2 linked regions of the Struthio camelus genome follow. Each later gene encodes a partner of the first gene's protein in a complex. Links are inferred from orthologs where the notes say so. Each region holds a gene or a part of one and is shown on either strand. Other genes may lie near its edges. The genes, in order: CSF3R and CSF3.

Region 1 (9,471 bases):
TTCGGTGCCCAGCGTGCCGCGTGGCCCCGCGGGCACGGACAGGAGGGACGAGGGCGCCGTGGCGGGGAGCAGAACGAAATCCTCCTCCCTCAGTGTCCGAGTGCTTCTGGGCGCCTGTGGGCTGGTGCAGCACCCAGCACCCAGCGCCCCGTGCCCACGCTGCGCCATCCTTCCGCCCCGCCGGGCCTGCCGGGGGTCCTCGTTTGCCGGCAGCTCTCGTTTCCTGCCTCGTGGCGGGCCGGGGAAATTGCCGGTGGCGTTTCTCCCTGTGCGGATAACGAGAACGCGCGGGATGGATCGCTCCCGTCCCCTCCGCCGAAACGCAGCGCAGAGCTCAGACAGACCTCAGTCTCCCGACATGACACTCGTCCATCCTGGCCGGCCGCTGAGCCTGTAACGCAGCGATAATCCGCTCGCCGGGGCGCAGTCCGGCGGCTCCACCGCGCCGGCCGCAGCGAGAGGAGCGGCCCGTCTCCGCCAGCTTCGCCGGGCTGCGGGGGCTCAGCACCCTCCTCGGAGAGGCACCCAGCACCTGCCCCGGATAACCCCCTGGATAACGGGGCGAAGCGCAGGCAGCGCTCAGCCCCGCTCGCTCCCGTCCCCCCTCCCCGCTCCCACCACGGACCCTCCTCTACCAGGATGATTAATGCCGCTGCCTCATTAATTGCAGTAACGTGTCGGGAGCCTTGTTCGAGGTCGGCTGCTCGGACCCCGTGCAATCCATTCACTCTCGATCCGCGCACGCAGCAAAGGCTGCCGGCGGCGGCGAGCGTCCCCGCGGCACCGGGAGCCGAGGGCGCCGGGCGCTGCCGGCTGCTCCCCTGGGACGGGAGCGAGGCGGGAGCCAGCAGCCCGGAGGCATCGTGGCCGTGTCCCGGCGCAGCCCCCCGCGGCCGCCGCGCAGCCTTCACCTCCCACCACATCGCCCAGGGGCGGAACAACGCGGTTTGTTGAATTAATCGTGTTGGACAGCAGGGAAACCTGGCACATTGGAGACTGCACCAGGTTTTGTGCTTAGATCTTGCATCCTACATGGCTGGCAGCATTTTTTTTTTTACGGAATAAAAAGAAGAAAAGGAAAAATCTCTTTAGGGATGCTGGTTCTTGCTGGCAGCTGAGCGGATGCAAGCCAGTAACATACTTTACTTTGCCTAATAGCAATGATCCACCCAGCAGGGATTAAATCAGAGGGGCTGATAACATGCCTGACAGCCGCCGGCATCTGGCTGCGGGAAGCACTCTCGCCTCCGTGCCCAGCTCGCCCGGCCCCCCGGCCCGGGGAGACCGTCCGGGAGGTGTCTGGGTGGCAGGAGCCCGCCAGCCGCACCGCCGGGCAGAGACCTCGCTTCGGCAGCTCGGTGGGAAAGCGGAGATGCTCCGCGCTGCCCCTGCGCCGGGAGCGAGGGATGGCGGTGGCGCCCGTGCCCGGGCGCGGGAAGCTGATGCTGCCTTGCCGGGAAGGGCTCGGGCCCTTCCCCTCTGTCAGCCCCAGGGCGACGTGCAGATGGCTGCAAGCAGCGGCCGGGGCGCGCTGGGCTGCCAGGTCAGCCTGGGCTTTGGCTCCCCATCCCACGCGCTGCAACTCTGGAAAAGCCCTTCGGAGCCCCGCTGCCACTTCCCCTTTCCGAGTTCCCACTCGCTGCGTCACCGGCCGGGCACGGAGGCGGCTCTTGCGCCACGGGCCGGGGGCTCGCGGCCCCGCGACGCGCCTTGCCCGGGCTGCGAGCGCCTGCCCTGCCTCCGAACCGGGGTGCCCCTGCCACCGCCTGCCCGGCACTGCCCCCTCCCGCAGGGACCCCGTGTCCCCTCCGGCTTCCTCCGCGCGCCCGTGCCCCCGCGGCATCCTCCCCACCTCGGCTCCCGCAGCCCCTGCGGGCCGGCCGGGACCCACGTGCTCGGGCTGCAGGACCCTGCCGGGAGCAGCCAGGGACCCTCCCAGCCCCGCCGAGGTGGGGAAGGGTCTGGGAGCCTGTGAGGGTGACTCAGAGCCAAAGGGGAACCGAGAGTGCGGTCATGGGGCAGCGACAGCTCCCTGCCCCGATCTGCGACCAGCCCCACGGCTCTGGGGAAGGGGATCGCTGCACCAGGACCGCGCAGGGAGAGCTGAGCGCCCAGCACTGCCGGAGTGGCAATGCCAGCGCCTCCTTGGGGGACAAACCCTTTCCCTGCGGAGTAGGGCCACATGAGCACGAGGGCAGGTGTGCACCAGGTGGGTGCCAGTCCCACAGTCCCACATGCGAACGCAGGGGCATCCCCTCATCCATGTGTACAGGGTGCGCAGCCCTAGCCGCACGTGCAGGGATGCACCGTCCCGTGAGCGCAGGGATGCACGGCCCATCCGCGCGCCCCGGGATGCACGGCCCATCCGCGCGCCCATGTGCCCCCCGCGCACATGCCGGGGCAATGCAGCCGCAGGGCAGCGCAGCCCCCAGGACCCAGCGGCTTCCTGGGCTCGGAGCAGCGCTGGCCCCAGCCGAGCCCTGGCCCCGCGCCCCCAGGCCAGGCTGCCGGGTGCAATGGGGCGCGGGGAGGGCAGCATTTGTTTTCTGTCCAGCTTCATGTTTACAGCTTTCTACTTCCCTCGCGGTTCCCACGGAGATGCCCATGTCACCATAGTTACCAGAACGAATATTCCTGCTCTGGGCCGTAAACAGCCTGCAAGAAGGCAGATTTCCGTGGTAAAGCGCTGGGGGTTGCTACACCCAAGGAAAATGTTGCAATGGCAACTTCTCCCTCCCCATCCTGCCCAGGGCAGCTGTGGGAAACAGCCCCCGGCTGGGAACGGTGTCACCGGGCACCGTCGGAGCCACTGCAGGGGCACCAGGAGGAGGAAAGAGAAAACTTGTCCCATCTTCTCCTGGGAGCTGCCGAAACACCTGCATCCCCCGTGCACGCGCTGCCCGTGCCGGCTCCCCCGTGAGCACCCCGGCTCCGGGGACCGCAGCCGGGGACAGGCCCTGCCCAGAGCCCGGGCACGGGCTGGCCACAGCGCCAGCGCTGAGGCTGGCGAGCAGCAAGGAAAAGCAAACGGCGGCTTGGCCCCGGGCAAGGCAGCGCTCACCGAGCGGCGGGCACGCCGGGGCAGCGCTGGGCTCCGGGGGAGCAGAGCTCCGCAGCCGGCTGTGCCAAAGCCCGGCGGAGCCCCGGCGCTGGCTGGCACAGGCTGATTTTCAGCACGCTGCATGGTTCAGCTGTGCTATCTTTTTTCCCCAAAATCTCTCCTGGGGGGTTGGAGGCCGGTGGGCGCTTGTGGGGCAGCTTGGCCACCTCGCAGCCGCCAGGGCTGGCCCGGCCAGGGCCTGGCGGGGAGGTGAGTGCTCAGCAGGGCAACACATCCCAGCCGCACCTCTGCCCGGAGCGGAAACACGGAGACCGTGCATGTGAAAAACAACCTTTGCGCAACGCTCCGGCTGGAGGAGGCAGCCTGCGGCGCGAGGGGACAGGCCTGGCGGGATGCGACGGGGGGACGGGCTCCCTGCAGCCCAGGAAAACGCAGCCTGTTGATGTTTCCAGGTGCAATTCTGCAGCGAGCACTGGGGGATGTTGCCTTGGGTGAGAAGGGTCCGTGGGCAGACGAGGCCCTCAGCATCCCCGGTCGCCCCGGCAGGGCGCCCCGCACCAGCACCCACGGTGCCCTGCCAGAGGGGCTCAGCCACGTCGCCGGACAGCAGACGGCAGCCGGCAGCCACTGGGCAGCGAAGCAGGTGGAGACGCTGCTTCGGGGAGCCCTGGGCTCACGCTGCAATAGGGCCTGGGGTTGCTCCGGGGGCACCGCTGGCCCGGCCGGGGCCGCGCTCCCGCAGCCGACCCTGCGACCGGCAGCAGCACAGCGGGGCTGGTGCCAGGCGGCTAATCAGCCTCCCTGGCCCCAGCCCGGCTCGCCCCGCCGCAGCTGCTAATAGGCAGGATGGATTCACTGCAGGTGGGAGAGTTGCTGCTGGGAGCAGCACAGCTGAGCTGATCGGGGAGGAAGGAGGACTGAGGAGGCCAGCGTTGGGCAGGATCCCTGGGGCTGGGGCTGGGGCTGGGGCTGGGGCAGGACTGGGAGCTGGGGCTGGGGCAGGACTGGGAGCTGGGGCAGGAGCAGGAGCAGAGCTGGGGCAGGAGCAGGAGCAGAGCTGGGGCAGGAGCAGGAGCAGGAGCAGAGCTGGGGCTGGGGCAGGAGCAGAGCTGGGGCAGGAGCAGGACTGGGAGCTGGGGCTGGGGCAGGAGCAGAGCTGGGGCAGCAGCAGCAGCAGCAGCATCAGAGCTGGGGCAGGGGCTGCTGGTCATGTGCTGGCACCGGAGGAGCTGCTCCCAGGCCTCATCCTGTGTTTGCAGGCACCCCAGCGCAGCAGCCCACAGCTGGCCACAATGTTCCCGCTGGCTTCCTGCTCCCTTAGCTCAACCTCTACAGTTTTGATGCAACGGCTGCGCGTTTCTCCAGCGCATCACCCCTGACGAGCAGCAGGAGCTGCTGCTGCCCCTGCACCCGCCGCTCCCCACGGGCTGCAGGCTGCACGGGGCCAGGCCTGCTGCGGGCAACCCGCCAGGGCCCGGGGGCAGAGTAGGGCTTTGGGGAAGGAGCTTTGCCCCACGGGGCAGTCGGGGTGTGTGGCGAGACGGCCGTGTGCCACCTGCAGCGAGCAGCCCTCCTCGGCGGGAGGCGATGCGGGAGCGCGGCTCCCTGCGCGGATGCCCTGCACCCGCGTGCCCGTCGGCCCCGGGGTAAGGCGCAGTGTGGAGCTGCGGGAGCGCTGGGTAGCGTGCCGCTAGACTCGACGCACGCATGCCGTAAATCCCATAGTAAACAGTTGTTTGCACAATAAATGCCTCCGTTGCGAAGGCTGCGAGTGCGTCGTAGCTTGGGCAATCCCCTGTTTACCCGGATGCTCCGGCTCCGTCCTGCTGGACCCGGGGTTTTTCCCACGTCCGCAGGACGCGGCGCGACCGGGCAGCCCTGCCTGGTCCCAGCCGCAGCGAGGAGCTGCCGTGGGGCAGCTGCTGGCCCCCCGGGCGAAGGAGCCGCTGGAAGCCCCCGGCCCCGAACCTGGGCCAAGGGCCGGGGCGGGGACATACCGGGGGCGAAGCTGGGTCTCCCTCTGCCCTTGCGGCACCTCGCTGGTCCCCCAGCTCTGGGACACGTCGTTGGGTCCTGCTGGGAGCCACCGGGCTGGGAGGCAGCTGCTGGGGCCGGGGGCCGGATCCTGCCTTCCACGGGCCCCGGCACAGGAGCCCCTCGAGGTCCCACGGTGCTTCCTGGCCCGTGGAGCTCGCGTGATGGGGATGGGGGCGATTTAGAGCAAATCGGGGACAGGACTGCTCTCGCCAGAGCCAGGCTCTGGGAGGGACGGTCCCTGCGTGGCTGCGAGCGGCCGGGAGGGCCGGTGCAGGGGGCCCGCAGCACACGGTGCGGATGCTCCCGGGAACCTGGGAGACGCATCCCAGGCGAGGACCCTGGAGCTCAGGAGGACGAGGATGCGGGGACGAGCCCAGACCCCCGCGGCGGGTGCCGAGCAGGAGCGCGGGAGCGGGTTGGGAGCTGGGAGCTGCAGTGCGCCAGCTGCGCTCAGCACCCGCCCGCGGCCGCCTCCTGCCCCTCCGCGCGCCGCGTCCCCCGGCCCGGCCCCGGCAGGCTGCAGCAAGGAGGCGGCCGCTGCCCCGGCCCCGCTGCCGAGGGCCGGCGGGGCGGGCGGCAGGTCCCGCTCCGGGCGCTGGACGTGTGCCCTGGGCTCCCCTTCCTGCCAGCGAGCACGGCAGGCACAGCCTTCAGGGAAGTGTTTTGCAATCACCTTCTCCAGAGTCACAGCAATTAACGGCACTGGTTTTGAGGAACTAACGGTGAGAGCAGCGTGCTAGCAAACGGGCTGAGCGCGGCGATGCGCCGGGAGCCGGAGACCAGCGCTGGGAGCGGGCGGTGAGCGGCGGCCGGAGGCGGCGGGCGCAGAGGCGAGGTAGGGACGGGGCGCCGGGGTCCGGTGAGCGCGGGCCGCCCGGCGTGCCCCGGCGGCGCGGACCCAGCGCGTTACCCGCGGCTGCGCCGACGGCCGTGCCTGGCCCGGCGGTGGGGACGGCCGCGTGCCGGAGCAGGGGTGCGCCGCCGGCGGCTGCTTTCCCATCAGCCGTGCCGGGCTTGCCTGCCCCTGCATGCCGGCTCCGGGGCAAGGAGCGTGCCAGAGGCGGGTGCCGGCGCGGGCAGCCCCTCGGGGGGGCACGTGTCCCCCACCGAGGAGGAGGCAGCCGCGAACGCCCCGGGGAAAGGGGTGCCGCACAGCCGGGCAGGGGCCGGAGAGGCGGCTCGGTGGCTCCGGCTGCCCCGGGCGCAGCGCAGGGAGGTTTGGATCCATTCCCGGCAGCGGCCGGGGGATGCAGGTGGAGGGGGGAAGCGCAGGAGAGAGGGTGCGGGCAGGACCCCGAGGCCCTGCAGACCCTGCTGCATCGCCTTCGTTCATTCCTTTCCTCCTTTCTGCTTATCAGACCGCTCTGCCACCCAAAACCTCAGCTCTCACCCTTGCTTAAACCACAAATCTGTCCCCGGCAGAGACAGAAGGTACCTGAGATAAAAGCAGCTCGTGCCCGGAGCGCAGCTCCAGGTTCGTGCTGCGGAAACGGGGAGAGCAGGGCGGAGAGCCGGTGGCCGGGCAGAGCCGCGCGCCCCGCGCCCCTTCCCGTCGTCGGTGCCCCGCGGGCGGCTCGGATGTGTCAGCGCTGCGGAAGGGCCGCCGGAGGGAGGCTGCGCCCAGAGGACGTTGGGCTCCAGCAAGCACCCGCGGTTGTCGCAGCAAGGGGGATCTAATCCGGCCGCTTCCCGGCCCCCTCCCCGACCTGCCGAGAGGAGCCCGTGTCTGAACTCCAGGTGATGCCAAAGCCAAGGAGCGGATCATGGCCAGGCACGGCGCCGGGACAACCTTGCTGCAGCGGCTCTCCCTGCTCCTCCTGCTCTCCCTGGGCGGTGAGTGGGTGCCCAGCCCCGCGCTCGCCCCTCTGCCCTGCCTGGGTGCCACGGGGCCGGCCGGCTCGGCCGCGGCCGTGCCCTGGGCGTGACGCCCTTTTCCCGCCCGCAGGGACCCAGGGCTGCGCCTCGGTGGCCGTGGGCTCCCCCGTCGTCCCCCTGGGATCGGCCGTCACGGCGTCCTGCACCGTCCAGAGCGAGCTCTGCCGCGGGCTGGAGCGCGGGAAGATCCGCATCGCCTGGATGCTGGACGGCGAGCCCCTGGCCGGCAGGCAGCGCCGCGGCCCGGGGGGGACGGAGGTGTCCGACCTCACCGTGGCCAACTTCAGCCGCAGCCAGGCCAGGCTGTGGTGCCTCGTGGAGTGGAACGGCACCCGGCAGCGGGTCGGCGTGGCGGAGATCCAGGCGGGCTGTGAGTCTGCCCCGCGGGGCGCGCGGCCAGGCCTGGCGTGGCTGGGGCTGGGCAGCCGGGGGGGCCGCCGACCCGGGCCTCCGCGGAGCTGCCCTGGGTGCTCCCCAGCACGCCGAGGCGCAGGGTTTGGGGCAGGTTTGCTCAGGCTCCTCCTGGCTGCTTTCTCCCTAGACCCGCCTGCGAAGCCCTTCAACCTCACCTGCATGCTGAACCTCAGCGACTACGGGCTGACGTGCCGGTGGGAGCGGGGAGCCGACAGCCTCCCCACCGCCGTCGCCCTCAAGTGCGCCACGTAAGCGGGCCGCGCGGCGCCCCTGCTCTCCGGCCCCCGGCCCCTATCCCCGCTTATCCGAGCCCTCCCGTCTCCGTCGGCAGGAGCAGAGCGCAGCGGGAGGCCGCCGGCGAGGCGGTGACGGGCTGCACCCCGCGGGGCGGCTGCCACTGCTGCACCGTGCCCCGCAGGCTGCTCCAGCTCTACCGGAAAATGGACATCTGGGTGTCCGCCCGCAACGCCCTGGGCACGGCCGAGTCGGAGCGCCTCCGCATCGACCCCATGGACGTCGGTGAGTGACGGCGGGAGCCTCCTGCCCCGAGCGGCCGTCGCGGGCCACGGAAACTAATTATCGGTGCGGGAGGGATTTTAGAGTGCCGTGACAGCACGTCAGGCTTTTAGGTTCCCATGATAAACGGCTTGCGAAGATGAATAGGTGCCAGAGCCGTATTACAGACCTGAGCAGCGTGTGCCGGCTGGGTATGAGCCGTCGGTTGACCTGCTGCACTCTACAACTCTCTCCAGCAATTGATTACCCGTTTCTTCAGGAGGTCTATTAATAATACATACAACTCCCATAAACTATTTATAAAAAGAAACCTCCTCAGACGATGAGACTGGTCGTCCCTGGTCTGCACCCAGGGAAGAGCCGCCCGCGAAGCCCGCTGTGGCCGCGCGGGGCGTCTGCACCTCACTGCACGCTGGCTCCGGGCCCTTTCCACAAGCCGTTCTCCAAAATGTTTTGGGGCTGTTTCTGTCTAATCCCACTTGCCAGGAGGTCAGAGCAGGCCAGAGCCAGGGCTGCGGTTCGCGGCGTTAATAACAACGGTGCCTTCGGCCACGCGCGAGGCTGCAGCCCTGGCAGAGCCGGGGTGCAGAGCCCCGCCGGCCCGCACGGGCACCGTCCGCCCGCAGCATCTCCAGCTCTGCCCGGCTTTCCCTCCAGCCAAGCTGGACCCTCCCGTGCTGCAGAGCATCCAGTCCATCCCCCACCAGACGGACTGCGTCTCGGTGTCCTGGGAGGCCGCCCGGACCAGCGCGCACATGGAGCTGCAGTGTGAGCTGCGCTACAGGAGCCCAGAGGACCCGGCCTGGGCGCTGGTGAGCGATGCTCAGCGCCGGGGCTGGAGAGGGGCCGGCGAGGGGCTGCAGGCGAGCAGGAACCAGCACTCCCCACATCTGCTCCTCGCTCTGCCAGATTTTGCACCCTGCTTTGTGCACCTGGGCACCTCTGGGTACCGATCAGCGCCTGCGCTTTCCTCCCAGCCTTGCTCACTACGGGAGGGATATGGCAGCAGTGTTTTTCCCACGGTGCTGTCATGCAAGCTCCTGCTTTCTGCCGGTCCTTACTTGGGCTGCGTGCCGAGGCCACCACATCTCACCACACCTGTGTGATCCCCCTTCACCGAGCTCCTCCGTGCCCCGGAGGAGGCCTCACGGCTGAGGCCAGCCCGGCACTGGGTTCCCTGCTGCGTGCTCCTGCCGGCGACCGTGGCCCGGGCTGCCGCAGAGCCGCCCCACGGACCTGCCTCGCAGGCACACGCCGGCTCCCGCAAAACCCTCCGTCCTTGGCGAGGGTGCATGTCCTCATCCTTCCCTGCCCCGGGCGGGTGGCAGAGACCCCAAGCGCCTGCCGCAGACCCACCGCGCGCTCCAGGGCTGCCCCTGGCCCCGGCTCCGGGGCAGGACGGGGAGGAGCCGCCCCGTCGGGGAGCTAACGCAGCCCCTGCTCCGGCTGCCCGCAGGTCCCCGGCATCGGCAGCCAGGCCCGGCCGACGCAGCACTGCGGCTTCCTCTTCGGGACGCAGTACCACTTCGAGATGCGCTGCCGGCGGCCCTCGCCCGGGGGCTACTGGA
Region 2 (10,023 bases), on another chromosome or scaffold:
CTCGGTGGGGGCCGTGCGGCTGCCCCGAGCTCGGCATTGGCCCTTCCCCAGCTCCCAGGGCTTCACCTTCCTGGAAGGGGCTGGAGCTGGCGCAGGGGTTTCCTGTAAGCGCTGATAAGCCCGGGCAGGAAGGCGCGATGCCTCCCGCTGTTTGTTCTTCAGAAAGGCAGCGCAGGGAGGGCGCACATCAAAATAAACACAGGCAGCGGCATCCCCACGGTGGTGAGGGGCAGGGGGACCGTGGGCTGGGGGGACGCGGGAGCAGGGGCCCGGCTGCAGCTGCCCCCGCGGGGCCGGGGCTGCCGGCGCGGTCACAGGACGCGAGCACGGGACCGGCAGGAGGAAGCACAGGCTGCTGCAACCCCGGGAGCGTGGGGACAGGCCGTGGTGGCCAAACGCCCGGTGCAGGAATAGGGAAGAGGCCGTGGGCTGCCCGCGTGGGCTCGCCTGGGACTGGCACGGCGGCTGCTGGGGCTCTGCCACGATCCAGGGGCTGCTCCGGGGCCAGGGCTCGGGCTCCCGGCTCTGCTGCCTGTGCCCAGGCGCGTCCGTGTGTCCGTCTCGGTTTTCCCGCTGCCGCCAGGCTCTGGGAGGCCCCCGGGAGCGCGGCCGAGGCATCATCGGTCCTGGGCGGCTCTAGAGCAAAATCCCCTTGTGGCAGGAGCGAAAGAGGAATTGCCGGGGGCCGGCGGTGCTGGTGCGTCACTGTCCAGCAGCGCATCGCGGGTTGGGAAGCGGACGAGGCCGGGAGCCGGGACCGGCCCGAGCATCACCGCCGGCCCTGCGCAGAGCCCTGAGTGCTCATCACGCCTGTGCTTCCCTTCCTGGGCGCGGGAAGGCTCTGTGCTGCCGGGGCAAAGAGCAGGGGGCTCACGGGCTGCTGTGTCGGGGCACCCCGGCTGCGCTGGCAGAGCTGCATGGCCCCCGGGCGCAGAGCTGCCGCCGGCGCTTTCTAGGAATCGGTGCTTGCCCAAGCCGCGCGGGAGGAAGCTGCCGCCCCCGCGCCGCGGGGAGCCGGGCCGGCCCTGGCCGCATCCGGGGCCCCCGCGCGCCCCGGCCCCGGAGGGGCTCTGCCCCAGCCGCGGGAGCCGCCGAGCTCGGCCCGGCCCGGCCGTCGCGGCCCCTTCACCCACAGTGCAGGCGGGGGACGGCGGGGAATGCAAACAGCCCACGTTTCAGAGCAAAAATAGAGTTTATTTCCGTTTTTTATAGTGTATAAAAAATACCATGTATTTCTCTGGGGCTAACCCAGCTGCAGTAATAAATACCAGTACAAAATACAGCGGGACGGAGCCCCTGCCAGGGCGCCGGCGGCCGCGCGGGCCCGGGAGTGCGGAGCCGAGCCGGGGCCGGGCGGACGCCGGGCTCGGGGGCCCGGACCGCGCCGCGGCCCCGCTCGCCAGGGCCGGGCCGTGAGCGGGGCGCCGCTCTCCCGGCCCTGGAAATGGGTGCGAATAAGTTAAACTGGGATAAATAGAGAGCGTTTAGCTCCAGGGGGGCAGCGCGGCTCCCCGGAGGCTGCTGCTTCGGCATCTTGCACCGACTGCGGGTCGAGAGCCTGGGGGCTCCTCCAGCCTCCCCTCCCGCCTGCTCTATACCTAATGGCTAATAAATATTAATTAATGTAAATATGCATAATACAAATAACACCCGTCAAAATCGTCCCTGCAGGGCTGTAAACCGGGCAGGGAGATGCTGCTCTGAAGCCTCTTCATCCCCGGACGGAGACGGTTTCCCCCTCGGCGCGGGGATGCTGAGGCAGGCAGCACCCGGCCAGGCGATGGGGAAACCGAGGCACGCGCAGCCGCCGGGCCTGGGCCCAGCTCCCGATCCTCGTAGCAGAGATACGCTTTTGTTTAAATATTAAACAAGGCTGATGCTGCGCACAGCTACCCGTGCGCGGACGGCACCCCGGGGCAGACCTGGGCCAGCTCCTCCATGTTAAATAGCGATAAATATTAAATAAGCGGAAAAGCCGGGCTGTCCCGGGGAGGGGGGCGCGGGGCGGCGCGGGGTGGCCCCGGCGAGCGGCAGGGAGCCCGCGGCCCGGCCTGGCTCCGCGCCGCCGGGCGTCAGAGCCGGGCCAGGTGCCGCAGCGCCCGGTACGCCGTCTCCAGGAACCGCTGGAAGTTGGCCAGGATGAAGAAGCCGCCGACCTGGTGGTGGAAGGGGGAGGAGAAGGCGGGGAGGGCGCCCCGCTCCTCGGCGGGGTACGTCACCGTGGCCAGGCCCAGGTCCTCCATCTAGAGCGGGGCAGGGGGACGCGTCAGAGGGGTCCTCGGACCGGAGGCGTCCGGAGAGCTGGCGTGAGCCCTGGCACCCCCTGCCTCTGCCCGGGGACGCGGTGCCACCCGGGGTGCCGAGCCCCATGTCCTCCCCGGGGGTGCCACCCGGGGTGCAGAGCCCCACGTCCTCCCTAGGGTGCCATGTGGGGTGCAGAGCCCCACGTCCTCCCCGGGGTGCCACCCAGGGTGCAGAGCCCCTCGTCCTCCCCAGGGCGCTGAGCCCCACCGCATCCCCGCCGTCCCCGGCTGCTCCTCACCTGCTGCTGGATGTTGGAGGAGAGGTTGGCGGCGTCGAGCTGCAGCGTCTCCACGAGGCCGGCGTGGGCGGGCAGCAGCTCGCGGACGGAGGCCAGGGAGCCGTGGTAGGCCTGGAGCCCCTCGCGGATCTGGCCGAAGCAGTCTTCCTGCGGGGATACGGCTGGGGTCAGCGGGGCCCGGCTGGGACCGGGGCCACCGCGGCGCCAGCGAGGGACCACTTTCGGCTTGGGGCAGCCAGAAGCGGTGGCAAAGCCGGCCGAGCAGCGGGGAACCGGCCGGGCTGAGACCGGCCAGCTCGTGACATGGGTGGTCCCCCGCGGCGCACTCACCGCCTGGAAGGTCCGGCTGTGGCACTTCTCCAGAGGGGCGTGGGTGATGTCCAGGTCCTGCCGCACCAGCAGCAGCTCTTCCTCCTCGCACAGCTGGAAGGTGTCGCACTGCGGCCGAGGAGGGGAGGGCGTCAGGGCGGCCGGAGCGGCGCGGGACCCCCGCTCCGCAGCCCTCCCCTGGCCGGACGAGCGCGGGCAGGGGAAGGTCACCTTATCCGTGACCCGGCGGCGCGGGTCCCCGGCGCTGCGCGGCCCCCGCGGTGCCGGCACTCACCACGGCGCGCTGCAGCGCGGCCACGTCCCCCTTGATCTTGCGGGTGAACTCGAGGTTTTTGCGCAGGAAGAGCTGGAAGTCCTGGTCGCCCGAGAACTCGGGCAGCGGCGCCCCGTGCAGCGCCCGCCACAGCGCCGCGCCCAGCACCGCCGCCAGCACGCCTGCGGGAGAGCGGCTGGCTCAGCGCCCGCCCGGGCGCCGCGCGTTTGGCCCCCAGCGCCGCAGGCAAGGCGCAAAGATGCCCCGGAAAGGAGGGCGGGCGGCTGCGCCCTCCCCGCGCCCCGCCAGCCCGCCGGTGCCAGCGTGTGCGGGGCCCTAGGGCGGTAGGGGTGCTCTGGGTGCTGGAGCGTCCTGGGTGTTGGGGTGCTGGGTGATGCAGGTGCTCGGGGTGCTGGATGCGGGGTGCTGGGGTGCTACAGGTGCTCGGGGCGTGCTGGGTGCAGGGTGCTATCGGTGCTGGGGTGCACCGGGCGCAGGGTGCACTGGGTGCTGGGGGTACTCACGGGTGAGGGAGCACATGGCGGTGGGCATCTCGGCGTCTCCTCCTCTCTGCAAGTGCTGCCCGGGCCGGCACAGCTCGCTCCTGCCCTGGCTCTGCGCGGCCTCATCGATTAGGGCATTTTATAGACGGCTCCGGGGATTCACACTGATGTGGCAACAGTGCTGATTGCCTCATTGTCTTAATCACCGATATGCAAATCCTGGGAGCTGGGCGCTCCCGGCCGGCCGGCCCGCGCCGCGGCTCGGGGGCTTTCCTGGCCCCCCGCCAGCCTGGTGCCGCTCCGTGCCGCAGGCACCCACCGGCCAGCCCAGGCGCCTGGGGCCGGCGGCTCTGGGCCGCGTGTTGGTGACTGATTAACTCGCCCACGGGGCTCCCGCCGTCTCAGGTGCCCGGTGCCGCTGGACCGCGGCCCAGGGCGGCTCGGAGCGGAGCCGGCGGCTTGGCGCAGCCTCGTCACCCGCCTCGTGCAGCCCCTGCCCGAGCGGCCGCCCCTCCGGCTCCGGCTCCGCCGGGCGCCCGAGCCCCTCGCCCCGGCGTCAGGGCGGGCGAGACCCCACAGCCCAGCCCCGGCAGGAGCCGGCCCTTCGCGGACGTGGCTGCCAGAGAAGCCCCGGGCGGCCGTGGCCCCGGAGCGAGCCCGGCTGCTCCCTGCCCTCCGGCTGCCCCGCTGCTCTGACGTGGGATTTTGGCTCCGGCCGGGTCCCACAAGTGCTTCCCGGGTTATTTGCTGTCTCGGTGCCAGCTGGGTCGGCTCCTGCCCAGCACGGGCCGGCTGGGACGCGGGGCAGCACCCGGGAAAGGGGCTGGTGGGATCCTGGCACCCAGGATTGCGGGGGGGGGGGCATCGCTCCTGCGCCACCGCCCTGCCACAGGGCCCCAGTCCCGTCCCTTCCCTCCCCCAGGCTGCAGGGGACGGGAACCCCCGGCCTCAGGCGCCGGGACCCTCGCTGCCCGCACCGGGCTGGGCCGACTCGTGAGCCGCGCTGCCCGCCACCACAGAGCCCCAAGCCCTTGGAGCCGCTCCAGCCTCCGGCTAGGTGAAAGGAAACACCTGGAAAGGCACAGCCCAGCTGTGAACACCACCCAGAGCCTTGCCCGGCATGAGGCAGGTGTTAACTCTTAAACCTAATGATAACTTTCCCCTCCCAGGGCCTGGAAGTACCATGTGTGCTGCCCTCAGGCTGTGTGAAAGCACCTCAGCAGTGGAGCCTGTTTGTGGGATTTTCCTGGGAGAAATTTGCCCCTCCTGGCTCTGCCTTTTCCCTCCCCGGAGCCAGGGGCAGCCGGGGCCCATCCAGATTAGGGCCCCCATGGAAAGGGGAGAGTGTGACCTGCTGGCACGCCCCTGGCATCACCCTTTTCCCCAGAGCTGAGCGGAGCTGCCATCTCAGCAGGTTGGTGCTTTCAGGAATCGGGGCTGTTGCGGTTTGGGGGGGGGGGCGTGAATCAGAGCCAAGTGGGGCCGAAAGCCCGGGTTGGCTTTCTGAGGAAGGAAGTGGTGTCCGAACTCGAAACCTGTGGGTGGCGAGGCGCGGGCGGGAGCGCTGGGCCAGCACAATTCGCCCGGGGCCGGAGCTGCCCCGGCCCGGCTGCGGGGACTGCCCCGGGCGCCCGCCCCGCTGCGGTTCTGCCTCGTGGCTGCCCTTCCCCTCCGCGGCCTCGCCCGGGGACCCTCCGGCCCCTCCGCCAGCTGCAAGGAAGCGAGCGTTTCCGAGGTGTCCCGAGTGCCGGATGCAGCAGCTACATCGAGCCGGGGCTGTCCCCTTCCCTGCTCCATCCCAGCTGGCAGGGTCTGACCTGTGGCTCCACTGATGTTCCCAGGGGACGGACAAGCCGTATCCGTTGCCCTGGGGCTGCCCCGTTTCTGACCCCCGTGGCCCTTGGCCACCAGCCCAGCTTGGGAGTGCCGGGAGATTCCCAGATTTCCCCAGAGGATGAGCCCAGCTGCCAGCAGGACCCCGCTGGGCCGCTGCATGTCCCCCAGTCCCCATCGCTCCCCCGAGGGGCGCAGAGACTCCAAGCGCGGCAGGGCTGGGTCTGGCACCCGGGCGCAAACCCCTTGGAGGGATGGGGCAGATCCTGGGGGGTCCCTTGCTCCCTGGGCCAGCACCTATGGGGCTGGGAGGGCTGCGGGGCACCAAGAGGGTCCTGCTTGGAGCAGACCTGGTGTCTTTCCCGGCAGGCAGGAGGGGGATGTGGGGCTCAGCCCCTTCCCGCCCAGGCAGCGCTGCTGTGTGCTTGCTGTGTACACAGGCTGCCGGGCAGGCTGCTAATCCTGGTAATCCCTGCCCTGGCCTTCGTTTGCAGCTCCAGAACAAAGCAGCTTTTGGGGAAACAGGATCCTGGCGGCTGGTGTCTGTCAGCACGGCTGAGGCACTCCCAGCACCAGCCCCACTGCTGGCAGCGTGCCACAGGCACCCACACTCAGCTCAGCCCCCAGCTGTGCACCACGTCGGGCCAATGCTGCTGGGCCGTGCACCCTGGGGCCCCTGTCCCCACCTCCTGGGGCCTCAGCGCAGCCAGGATGCGTCCACAGCCCAGCTCCAGGGATCGGATCCTGCTGGGACTGGCGGTGCCTTGACCACACAGCTCCACCTGTCAGCTTCAGGCCTGGAGGTTTGTGTGGGCTGGAGCCAGTCCCAGCTCTGGGCTGGAGCAGGAGTATCTGGGCACCAGCAGCACTCCAGGTACCCCCACGGCCATCCAGAGCAGCCCACAGCTGCTTTTCCAGGCCTCTGATGGCCCTGGCCAGCCCCATGCTTGCTCACAGACTTGAGAACAAACTCACAGCCAGAACAGAGCAGGCTGGTGTTTTTCCAACTTTTATTTTAAAAGTCATAATTGAAGCTTAACAAAGCCTGACCCCATTATTGTTGTGAGAGCCGGGGGCAACTGCAGTCCCCGTGGAGCCCTTCTACCGACCCCCGCCCACCCCAGCCCCGCTTCCCGTGGAGCTCCCAATTCATGGGCCCTTGCGTGCCTCCGCGTGGGGCTCTGCAACGACTTCGACCACAAGCAACCTTAAAAGAACGTTTGTTTACTGGGGAAGGGGGTTCCCTCCGTGGGTGGTGAGGGCAACGAGAGAGCAGGGCCTGTGGCTGTGGGCCCAGGGAACCCACGTGTCCCCCTCCCCCGGTACAGACATGCAGGTATTTATAAAAGAAAGGCAGATCGGGGACCGGGGCCGCGTGAGGCAGCTCTGCTCAGACAGCATCTTCCCTAGGGACAAATAAAAAAAGTACGGCCAAGCCAGAGGGTCACGGGAAACCGTCATCATCGTCTTCTGCCATCTCCTTTGCAAACTCCAGGTCCTGCTGCTCACGCTCCCGGCGCTCCTGGAAAGTGAAGGCAGAAGTTAGCGGCCATGAGGGAGAGGATCCGGGTCCTTCCAATGGCCTTGGTGACTGCTGGGCTGCAGCATGAGCAAGCCTTCTGCCAGTACACAGCCAGCTGAGCCAGAGGGCAGCAGAGGCACGGATGAGGTCTCACCTCTGCAGATTCCAAGTCCTTGTTGTAAGATTTGGGCGGGAACCTCATGGCCTGGAAAAACAAGGGAGACAAGAAGCTGTGAGCAGAAAGAGGCCTCGACTCTGCCCTGTTGTCCCCTTCTGCCAGGCAGAAAGCCACTGCGTTCAAGCCAGCTCTGTCCCAGCCTTAGCTGGACCTCCTTTTCCCATCGGGGCTGAACCTGGGAAGGCAATAAGATGCCTGGGCCAGTTCTGGGAGGCTGATGGAGCCCTCTTCCCTCCAGCTCTGCAGAGAAGCCCTGTGATTCCCTGTGGACGTGCCTGAAGCCTCCCAGTGTGGCCCATTCACCTGATAGGGCAATCCCAGTGGCAAAGGCCCTGCCAGAGAATCAGCTGGAGACCAGCGTGAGGTGCCTGTGCTGCTGCGCTCACCTTGACAGACATGTTGTGGATGTCGAGGCAGAAAGAGATGCGCTGGTGAAATGCCAGCTGGGGCTCCCGGGTTGAGTAGATGTCGATCATTTCTTTTGACTGGACATAACCCTTCTCATGGTTAATGCTGGCCTCGATCACGCCATCCCGGATGGCCTGCAAGCCGGAGGGCACGTGGTCAGGGCACCCGCTGTCTCTGAGGGCTGAGGCAGCAGTTTAGCGCGAAGGGAGTTGGCTGCTGCAACAGGAGCGCTGGACTCGGGACACAGCGCACAGAGACGGGACATGGTGACCTAAGTGTCCCCAGGAAGGGAGTGTTGCAGAGATGGGCGGAAGCAGCCTGGCAGCAGTGCAAGGCCAGCTGCAAGAACCAGGAGCTGCAGACAGGTCCTGGGACCCAGAAGTCATACAGTCGTGTGAGATTTCATATGCAGCTACCTTGGCAACGATGAACTCTGCATCCTCCGGACTGTCCAGCTGTAGCTTCTGGGCGATATCAGCCAGGGAAATGCGAGAATAGGAGAGGCTGATCATACGGACACCTGAGACAAGAAGAAAGAGAACTGAGCCCGCTTTTGCCAGGCAGCCACAGTCCCAGGTGCACAAGGTGACACTCAGCTGCCCGCCAAGCCTGCAGCACCAGCTGTGACACAGCCCCCAAATACCAGAGCGGCAACCTCCTACCTGTCTTGATGACGTTGTGCCTCAAGCGAATGATCAGGGTGTAGGTCCCGTCGGCCTGGAACTTGTCCCCAAACTGATCGAGGACCTGGTTGAACTTGGCCAGGTTCCCAGTCCTGACGGCTGGAGCAGGCAGATGAAGGGGGAGAGAACGTGTAAATCGGGGAAGGATCTAAGGCCGAGGTGCTAGCAGGGAATGTGAGGCGGGGGCCTGACTCCCAGGCCTGCCATCCATTCCTCTTATGAGCTGAGAGGAGAACCCAGGTGTCCTGCGCCCAGCTGCTCAACAGCCTTTCAGGGACTGTGGACTCGCACTTCAGACTGGCACCAAGAGGAGTCTGGCAGCTGGGTCCCTTTGAGGCAAGAGGAGAGAAACCCCCATTGCTCACCACCCCCCCAAGGCTTCCCGCTCCCTTGAAGCACAAAACATGGTGCCAAGACATCACAGTGCCACGGCTCCCAAGAGGAGCCGAGCATGGGCAGGAACGGCCCGTCGTACCCTGAGTCAGGAGGAAGTAGGGCATGAGTGACCGCTTGAGAGAGGGCTGCCTGAACTGGAGCCTGTCCGGGATCTCCCCTAGCAGCAGTTCCACCACGATGAGCAGCTTGTGCACCTTAAGCAAAAAGAGACTATGAGTCCCCAGAGAGCCCAGGCTAAGGCTAAACCCTGCGGACAGCTTCCCCACAGGAGCAGAATGGAGGGAAGCCAGCAAGGTGGTGAGACCTACCCTGCCCCAACTGCGATCCACAACCAACAAGGAACCAACACCCCCGAGCGCTTGTGCGCTTCCCATGCTTGCTCACCGTCTGTTTGAAGCCAACAGCTGTGTGCTGTGGTGCCTTCCGCAGGGCATTCGTCATGGTCCTCCGCGCCTCTGAATACTCCAGCTGAATGGCCTTGATGCGCCCTGGGAGAGGGAGAGGGTTCACACGAGGCAGGAAGCGTTTGGAAAAGCCACCGAGTGAATCCAACTGGACCCACCTGGCTGGGGCTTTAAATTCAGAGTTGAAGCCCCAATGCCGACTGCTCAAACAGATTTTCTGGAGGACCAGAGACCCAAATCTCACATGCATCCTGATCTGCCAGTGGCATGCAGGACCCTCTGTATCTCACCTGTGTAATAGAGGTACCGTGCCCACTCGTTGTTGTTGGCCTGCTCAGGAAACACGGACTTGGAGACGAGCTTTTCTGCTTGGTCGTAGAGGTTGTAGTGAAGGTAGTTCCTCAGCAGCAGGTTCAGGAGGGTGGCCTGCCCGTCTGCATCGTGGCGCAGCGTGGCTGTCCGCAGCCGGGCATGCAGGAAGCTTCAGCGAAGGGAAAGTGCGCGTCAAGGAGGGGAGGAAAGAAATAGCCCGGCTCACCCAGACTCGCAGAGCCAAGCTCAGGGAGAGCCTGCACCCAGAACCATCGTGGAGGGCCAGTCCTACCTCCTGACCACATCAAGTTTATTCAGGAACTCATAGATGCGTGAGTGGTAATAATAACACTTAGCCACCACCAGGTCAAGGGCACGGCGGTTTTGGGAACTGATCTTCTGCATCAGGTCATCGGACACTTTCTGGGCCTGCAGGAGAGGAGCAGAGGTCAGAACAAATGAGCTGCTGCCCAGGAGGAGCTGGGAGACAGACAGGGCTGTGGGCTGCTTTGGCCAAGAGCTGCAGCAAACCCTGGAGGCGGCCTTCTGGCAGAGCCCTTCCAAAAACAGGTGAGGGAAAGAGAAAACTGTGGGGCAATGAGGCAGGCAGGCAGGCCGGCCACTGGGGCTCTCCAGTCCCAGGTCTTGGCCTGGTGCAG

What was found.
Region 2: the proteins of CSF3R (region 1) and CSF3 are in contact, whole or in part, in a crystal structure (PDB 2D9Q), measured with the Homo sapiens proteins. The link is inferred for Struthio camelus from reciprocal best matches to the Homo sapiens genes CSF3R and CSF3. Residues at the interface, in NP_000751.1 of Homo sapiens: Arg164, Arg190, Lys191, Leu193, Leu194, Leu195, Tyr196, Gln197, Asp220, Met222, His261, Ile262, Asn263, Arg311, Pro313, Leu314; in NP_000750.1 of Homo sapiens: Ser42, Leu45, Lys46, Glu49, Gln50, Arg52, Lys53, Leu141, Asp142, Asp145, Thr148, Thr149, Gln152.

The regions. Positions count from the first base shown.
Region 1 is NC_090964.1:10,342,470-10,351,940, reverse strand, and holds the start of CSF3R (granulocyte colony-stimulating factor receptor), read left to right. Parts: upstream 1-5,712; 5' UTR 5,713-5,933; intron 5,934-6,456; 5' UTR 6,457-6,861; coding exon 6,862-6,931; intron 6,932-7,043; coding exon 7,044-7,343; intron 7,344-7,514; coding exon 7,515-7,635; intron 7,636-7,718; coding exon 7,719-7,906; intron 7,907-8,560; coding exon 8,561-8,715; intron 8,716-9,359; coding exon 9,360-9,471. UniProt on the Homo sapiens protein: Receptor for granulocyte colony-stimulating factor (CSF3), essential for granulocytic maturation. Plays a crucial role in the proliferation, differentiation and survival of cells along the neutrophilic lineage.
Region 2 is NC_090966.1:6,759,973-6,769,995, reverse strand, and holds CSF3 (granulocyte colony-stimulating factor), read right to left. Parts: upstream 3,804-10,023; 5' UTR 3,678-3,803; coding exon 3,650-3,677; intron 3,308-3,649; coding exon 3,147-3,307; intron 2,981-3,146; coding exon 2,873-2,980; intron 2,690-2,872; coding exon 2,543-2,689; intron 2,244-2,542; coding exon 2,073-2,243; 3' UTR 1,174-2,072; downstream 1-1,173. Other genes in the region: PSMD3 (26S proteasome non-ATPase regulatory subunit 3), read right to left, coding at 6,906-6,983, 7,138-7,188, 7,548-7,703, 7,986-8,089, 8,232-8,351, 8,728-8,842, 9,033-9,136, 9,343-9,533 and 1 more. UniProt on the Homo sapiens protein: Granulocyte/macrophage colony-stimulating factors are cytokines that act in hematopoiesis by controlling the production, differentiation, and function of 2 related white cell populations of the blood, the granulocytes and the monocytes-macrophages.